Linked DNA regions of Sus scrofa. The protein of the gene in region 2 interacts with the protein of the main gene of each other region in a biochemical or structural test. Links are inferred from orthologs where the notes say so. Each region holds a gene or a part of one and is shown on either strand. Other genes may lie near its edges. The genes, in order: RNF185 and MB21D1.

The links.
Region 1: of the proteins of MB21D1 (region 2) and RNF185, one has a biochemical effect on the other in vitro, tested with the Homo sapiens proteins (2 studies listed by BioGRID). The link is inferred for Sus scrofa from reciprocal best matches to the Homo sapiens genes CGAS and RNF185.

What each region holds. Positions count from the first base shown.
Region 1 is NC_010456.5:47,966,763-47,970,574, reverse strand, and holds part of RNF185 (E3 ubiquitin-protein ligase RNF185), read right to left. Parts: intron 3,521-3,812; coding exon 3,502-3,520; intron 1,099-3,501; coding exon 986-1,098; intron 1-985. UniProt on the Homo sapiens protein: E3 ubiquitin-protein ligase that regulates selective mitochondrial autophagy by mediating 'Lys-63'-linked polyubiquitination of BNIP1.
Region 2 is NC_010443.5:92,482,059-92,486,299, reverse strand, and holds the start of MB21D1 (cyclic GMP-AMP synthase), read right to left. Parts: upstream 3,048-4,241; 5' UTR 2,871-3,047; coding exon 2,289-2,870; intron 1,536-2,288; exon of another isoform or gene 862-1,535; intron 1-861. UniProt on the Homo sapiens protein: Nucleotidyltransferase that catalyzes the formation of cyclic GMP-AMP (2',3'-cGAMP) from ATP and GTP and plays a key role in innate immunity.

The DNA.
Region 1 (3,812 bases), on a different chromosome or scaffold from region 2:
CCACTATTCTTGGGCAAGTACTTTACGTTGCTCTTGTTGCTTCTGGGCCTTTCCATGACTCATCCCACTTGTCACCCATCAGGCTCTAGGCAGGATGCTACCAATACTAAGACTGAAGACAGACCCTACCCTTGGGGTGCTTGTGACTTAAAGGGGGCTACAACCAAGCACAACACATGGTGGGAAGGGACTTCTGTAATAGAGGTGTCAACGAAATGGAACAGAGGCATGGGTGAAAGCAACTAATGTGGGAAAGAAAGGCCACTTCAAGGAGGAGGTAACTTTAGGGCTGCTCATTTAAAGATTGTAGAAGTTAGAGGAGGAGAGGGAGTTGAGCAGGACTGGGGAGGACAGAAGAAGCAGAGTGATAGTAAATACAAAGGTAAAAGGTAAAAGGGCAAGTCACTTTAAGAAAAGTCCAATACGTCTGGGTACAGGTACGCTGGAGCAAGGTGGAAGAAGGTAAGAGATGCTGTCAGAGTTTGGGTTGTGTGTATATGCACACATGTCATGAACCACACTAAGAAGGCTCTCAGTACTTGTGTTTGTAGAGTGCCAGACCACTAAACCTCCATTTCCAGAAATCTCAGAGCCTCCCAGACCCCTATCTCTCCCCTCACTGCCCCTACCCCCTCAACTTTATATATCACTGCTGCAGCAAACCCCCTCCTTGCAGACTCTCCTGCTGGACACTGCCTCCCAGGCTCCTCTACAGCACTCTGCACAATTGCAATGGTGATGTCCTGTGCACTGCCTAGAACCCTGTCTACCTGCCAGCACACACTCAGTGCAGCTCTGTATCACAGCCCAGCGTGGCAACCTGACTCCCCTCCCGGACTGGCTGACTCCCATCTGGATCCTAAGTGCCTCAAAACTGAGGATCTATAAGCACTAAGTAAAGGGTGGGGTAAGGGGATGCTGTTGAATGGAAGTGAATTTGTGTCCCATGGGAGGAGTGGGTGTGGGGGGTGCTCCATGACCTCACCTGGGGTCCTGTTGCCCAGTGCTGCCCCTGCCGTACAGCGGGATGACCTTGTCGCGGCTGATGCCAGCTTTGCAAACTGGACACACCTGTCTGTTAGGTCTGGTCTCCAACCACTGCAAGCAGGAGAGAAAACTGCATGAATGGTGCAAGCCCACCAGAGCAATCAGTCAGAACCAGCAGAACTACGCAGACCAGAGGCTTCAAACTGGAAACACCAGCACTAGCAGGGAACACCTCAAGGAACCTAACTTTCTGATTCCCGCTACTGGCACTCAATAAATATTTACTAGGTGAAATCAAAATTGCCTTTAAATGCCATCATAATGAAACAGGCTTTCTGATGCTTTGTTATCTTCAAGGGTTCCCAGCAATACAGCAGGAAAGAACTGCAGGCTGGAGCTGTGTCAAGAGGTCTGACAGATCCAGCCTCAGCTTAGGCTGAGGGTATGGAAATAACAAACTTTAAATTTCCACCTTTTCTTAACCAATTGTATGACTCTGGCAGTCAGATTTCTCTTTGTGTTTCTCATCTTTGCAGCATCTCCTCAACAACTTTGTATCTTAGACATCAACATTTGGATATAAGCTGACCATTTTCTGGTGACTTCCTAAGTGCTAAAAGATAGATTTTTCTTATTATCTAAGTTTGCTTAGTGTTTTTTTGTTTTTTGTCTTTTTAGGGCTGCACCGGTGGCATATGGACATTCCCAGGCTGGGGGGTCCAATCAGAGCTGTAGCTGCCGGCCTATGCCACAGCCACGCCAAAATCTGAGCTGCGTCTGCGACCTACACCGCAGCTCACACCAACGCTGGATCCTTGACTCACTGAGCGAGGCCAGGGATCGAACCCACAACCTCATGGTTCCTAGTTGGATTTGTTTCCGCTGTGCCACGAAGGGAACTCCTGCTTAGTTTTTTAATGTACCTTCATTGATTTTTGCATTCAACAATTTCTTTCAAAATTAGTAACACCAGGATCCTGTTCTGGGTTTTCCAGGCTCTCTCACTGGTTGTATTAAAATCATTTTGCTTAACTTTTTTTTTTTTTGGCTACCCCGCTGCATATGGACTTCCAGGGCCAGGGATCAAATCCGAGCTGCAGTTGTAACCTGCACCACAGTGCAACACCACCAGATCCTTTAACCCACTGTGCTGGGTTGGGGATCGAACCTGTGCCCTGGAACTAACTGCAGAGACACTGCCGATTCTGCTGCACCACAGCAGGAACTCCTTTGCTTAATTTTCTTAAAAACAAGATGAAAATGATAAAAATGTATTAGCTGTAGTGTCTTTGTAGACATTAAATAATTACACATATTTTTTCCCTCAACATACATCTTAGAACGTGAATCCAGAAATATGAAGTTTATTATGTAAAAGTGAATCTAGGAGTTCCCATCGTGGCACAGTGGAAACAAATCTGACTAGGAACCATGAGGCTGCGGATTTGATCCCTGGCCTTGCTCAGTGGGTAAGGATCTGGCGTTGCTATGAACTGTGGTGAAGGTCCCAGACACAGCTCAGGTCCTGCATTGCTGTGGCTGTGGCGTAGGCCGGCAGCTGTAGCTCTGACTTGACCCCCAGCCTGGGAACTTCCACATGCCGTGGGTGCAGCCCTAAAAGGCAAAAAAAAAAAAAAAGTGAATCTAGGACTTCAGGGTCAAGGAGAAGGCAGCGTTCAATGATTTTATATCCTACTGCCAAAAGTTTGAAAACTTAAGTATTATGTGTTCTTTATACATTAACAGCAGATGTGTTCTACCAGGTTCCATGGGGTCAGGATGCACAGCTGTGAAAGGCAGTGGAAACCCCTTTGGCTTCTTCTGCTTCTTTCTCCCCTCCAGATGCTGAGGCTCTAGTGGTCAGGAACTTTTGTCCTCCCCCCTCCAAGCCACCTATGAGTGTGGGGTTCTACTGCCAACAACCATGGAGACAGTCAGCCACAGGCCATTATTCACAGCCAGCTGTCAATGGCAGGCCCTGCTCTGTCCCACCAAGCAGGTGCCTCGGTCTTGGAGAGGACTTACTAACTGGTTTTCATAATAATCAAAAGCTAGGAAAACAGACTTTTCCTCTCCATAAAAGTTCTCTGTTGAGACCAAAACAGTTTTCCCCCTTCCTAATATTCTCAATATCCTAAAGTGGGGGTGGGGTGATTGTTGATATGATAGGAGGTACTTTCTATAAAGGCATAATCGCAAAAATAAAAACCTAGCTATACTATCATATCCAACCCAATTTACAAGTGAGGAAGTGAGACCCAGAGAGGTGCAGCCTGCCAAGGCCTCAAGGGCCATCCCATCAGCAACAGAGGCAGGAGCATCCCTCTTGGGTACCACAATGACCCCTTGTTTAAAGTGCTGTCAGTGGACAGGTGTATAGAAGGTGGGAGGAAAGCAAGCAAATGAGCCCACAAGCAGGGGAGATTGCAGCTTCTGACAGCAGCCTCCTGAGACTAGGGGTGTCTTGTGCAACCATTGCTGATGAAAGACAAAGTAAAATGAAATGCATCTTACCTGATGTAAACACGGCCAACTGCCAGAGTCCCGAGGGCAACCAGGCATCAAGGAGACAGAGAAAGGGGGAAAGGAAGAAAAATGATTCCATTAACAGAAACACTGGGTACAGCAGGAGCAGAAAAATGGGAAAAGAGGATCGAACTATGGTGCATTGCAACCCAGTGAGGGTCTGTAGGGATTGTTGGTATCAGAAATTAGAAAAGACTGAGCTATAGTCAAAGGAAAAACAAAGCAATGTAGATAAGACCTAGTCTCCAACCCTGGGGTCCCACTATTTGTTAAGACTACAAAGTCCCAGACTATCTGAG
Region 2 (4,241 bases):
GTTAAGGATCCGGTGTTGCCGTGAGCTGTGGTGTAGGTCGCAGACGCGGCTCGGATCCCTCATTGCTGTGGCTCTGGCGTAGGCCGGTGGCTACAGCTCCGATTAGACCCCTGGCCTGGGAACCTCCATATGCCGTGGGAGCAGCCCAAGAAAATGGCAAAAAGAAAAAAAAAAGTTACTGAGAAGTGTTTTTTCACCAATTATAAAGTTTGGAATCCAATTTTGAAATACAAGTGTATGCAGAGCAGAAGAAAATACAACAAAATAACTGTGAATAAAATAAACAGGGATAATTCTTCTATGTGCTTTTCTGAAATCCAGAGACATCAACAAGGAACAAGGGCAAAGACTGGAGATGCTGAGGAAGGAGGTAAGAAGGGGTGGTTCTGTTGTGCTAAAGGAGCCTGCTGGAGGGCAGGCAAATGAAATGACTCCACAATGAACAAGTAGGCCTTTCATAACCAGTTCTTTAAAATCAATACATATTTTAGATAAAACAACTTTCATTTTCTTGCCATCAATGTGATTTTAAAAAGAAGAGTGGTTCTGGGGGTTCGCATTGTGGCTCAACAGTAACAAACTCAACTTGAATCCATGAGGATGCGGGTTCCATCCCTAACCTCACTCAGTGGGTTAAGCATCTGGTGTTGCCCAGAGCTGTGAAGTAGGTCGCAGAGGAGGCTGGAAGCTCCCAAGTTGCTGTCAATGTGGCATAGGTCGGCTGCTGCAGCTTGGATTTGGCCCCTAGCCTAAGAACTTCTATACACCACAAGCGCAGCCCTAAAACGCCAAAAAAAAAAAAGCTTCTAATTGGAGACATTTCTCTATTTCTTTCTTTTTTTTTTTTTTTTTTTTAATGGTTTATTGAGCTGATCCTTAGTACAGGTGCTGGCATTTGCCCCTGGAGCTCTTAATGTACAAAGCTCAGACGTTCTGCCAATTTTTCTTGAGCAATGACACCAGGAAGTTGACAGCAAAAAGGATGTTATACACAAGCTCATCATCTGTCGTCTTCACGTGGCCAATAGCCACTTCGAGACACAGCACCTTCTTCATCTGGAACTTGATCGTGGACTTCACTTCATCAACTTTGGCCACCATATTCTCATTGTGGGTCAGCAAGGAAGGGAACTTGCCAGCCTTATTCAGGCCAGGGCCCAGGATTCATGGAATCTGCTTGATTAGAGACTCTGAAGCCAAAAAGGCATCATACTTCTTGGCCAGCTTCTTGACCAGTTTCTTATTCTTGTTGAGTTTCTTCAGTGCCTCGATGTCCATGTGTGGGATATCCACAGCCTTGGCCTCATCACAATGCTGCTGGTCTCCCAGAATACAAACGGAGAACTTGGGGCGGGGAGTAGACTTAGGCCTGAGGTGCCCGAGAAGCGTCTGTGGGTCATAGTTCTTCAGGCTGATTTGAAGCTCCACCATCTCCAAAAACTTCCTGCGCTTGTGCTGGTTCCGTGCAGGACTTCCTGCACCGCCTTGTAGAGGGTGTCCTGAGAGACTTTGCTGCTCATGACGCCTGGCGCAGCGATAACCAGAAAAGAGCGTTCTCTATTTCTAACTAGTAACTTTCTCTTTCGTTTGGACACTTTATACAATAGAACTGATTGATACTTAGGTAATATGCTCAAGATATACAGATAGTCCAATGAAAGTTTTGTTCACTTGGTTTTCAAGATGCCTTAGAATTATATGAGTGTTCTTCTTTGCAGAACAGATGTTGACTCACAGACATTGAAAAACTTACGGTCTCCGGAGGAGACAGTTTGGGGGGTGGGGGGGATGTGCTTGGGCTGTGGGATGGAAATCCTGTGAAATCAGATTGTTATGATCATTATACAACTACAGATGTGATAAATTCATTTGAGTAATAAAAAAATTTTTAAAAATAAAATAAAGAATTATATGAGTGATCGTCAGTGCTAAAAGAGTTTAAGATCCAAAAACCAACACACACAAGGTCTTCCTACAATAAACAAACATCACTGAGTCCACATCAGTAAAATGAGCAGCTGTACAGTGTTCAAAGTTTCTTAAAACATTCTGTGACAAGGAGGCTTACAATCCAGATGGGAAGCCAAAACAAAACAGCGGTTTGTTTTTTAATTTACTTTAATTAAAGAATTGTTGGTTTACAACGTTGTGTCAATTTACGAAACAGCGTTTTAATTAGAAATACGTCACAAGCCACAAAAGAACAAATCTAAGTTACTTCCCCAGTACCCCTGGGAGGTTGGGTGTTGGGGGTGGGGGGCGGACCGCAGGGGTGTAGGGAAACTCACCTTCACTCGCTCATAGTAGCTCCCGGTGCGCAGCAGGGCAACGCCTTTGAACTCGGACTCTCCGCCCTGCAGCCTCCGCAGCAGGTGCTCCACGACCCAGTTCACCACCTCCGCCGCTTCTGAGATTTCGTGGCGGCTCAGCCTCACCTTCTCCAGCACCGTCTGGAGCTTCCAGGCGCCGGGGGGTGCCTCCATCCGCGCGGGGGCTGCGAGCTCTGTGGCCCCGGCCTGGGGTCTCAGTTCCCGCGCCGAGCGCGCCTCTCTCGCGCGGCAAGATCCAGCCCTGAGAAGGGAAGCCCCCTGGGCCGAAGGAGGCTCTACCCTTTCGGAGGGAGCCGATGGGCCCTCCGCCTGGTCCTCGGCGCGGGCCGTCCTCGTGCGTACCTGCGGCTTCTCCCGGGGGTCCGGGCCGCTCTTCTCCCGTCGGCATCCCGACGCCCTGGAGGGGCCGTTCCTCCGTGCGCCAGGCCGGGCGGCCTCGGGCACCGTTGGAGCGCCATTTACACTCCGCGCTGAGGCCCTGGGGCCAGCGGCTCCCACCTCTGAAGCTGTCCGCGTGGACTTTCCCCGCCGGGCCGCCATGGCTGGCGCTCTCTGCAACCCAGTGGGAGACCGGCTTCTGGCAAAGCCACGGCCGGAGGAACCAGCAGACACCTCAGGAAATGAAACTTAAAAACTCAGCGGGAAGGAAGCAGCAGTAGGGCTCGCAGGGTAAGGGCGCGCGGAAGCCCGCGCTCAGGGGGCCACGCCCCTTCCCCGCCTTGCCCGCTTTCTCAGCTTCGGGGTGTGCGGTACCTGGGCGGGGACCAGGCAAAACCTAACCCAGCGAAGCACAAAACAGCTTTGGGAGCTTGGAAAGGGAGATGCCTTTGCTGGCCTGTTACCTAAACGCTTTCTAGAAAACTCTAGACCTTCTCGCACATTGAAATTGCCGGAGAACCTTTTTCAATGTAAGTTTAAATAAAGGGTTTCTTTAATTAGTGGGAAATAGAAATTGTTCAGTTTTTACCAAATGGAATGAGATGTCAATTGACTGTAATTGGAATAGTTCTAATTATTTGACTTTTTAAAAGCATGTATAGTCTTGGAGTTCCCATTGTGGCACAGTGGTAACGATCCTGACTAGTATCCATGAGGAGGAGAGTTCAATCCCTGGCCTCTCTTAGTGGGTTAAAGATCCAGCAGTTGCTATGGTGTGTAGGTCACATACACAGCTTGGATCCTGTGGCCTAGGCCAGCAGCTGTAGCTCAGATTGGACCCCCTAGCCTGGGAACTTCCATATGCTGTGGGTGCAGCCCTAAAAAGACAAAAATAAATAAATAAATAATAAAATATAGTAAAAGCATGAACAATCTTAAACTGTAGTTGGGTTTTTTTCGGTGTTTGTCTTTGGCCTGCACCTTTGGCATATGGAAGGTCCCAGGCTAGGGGCTGAGCTGGAGCTGCAGCTGCAGGCCTACGCCACAGCCACGCTGGACCCTGCAGCATCTGCATCCTACCCCACAGCTTGCAGCAACACTAGATCCTTAACCCACTGAGTGAGGCCAGGGATCTAACGGCATCCTTACAAAGACTATGTTGGGTTCCTAACTTGCTGTACCACAAGAGGAACTCCTTAGAAATGTTTTGGTTTTTTTTTTTTTTTTAATATTTGACTGCACCTGTGGCATGTGTAAATTCCCTGGAACCTGAGCCACAGCGGTGACTATGCCAAATCCTTATCCATTAGGCCACCAGGGAACTCCTTAACTGTAAGTTTTTATAGGGGAGGTTTATCCATTGGTTCTCAAAAACCTGTCTAAAAATGGCACTTATATTTTAAATAATCCAAACTACTTCCACCGTTATGATTTCAGAGTATCTCAGTACAGGCTTCAAGCATCTAATTCTAAAACCAACTTCTTTACAAAAATACATCTTAAATAGGAACTGTCTGGCTTAGCATGCCTTGG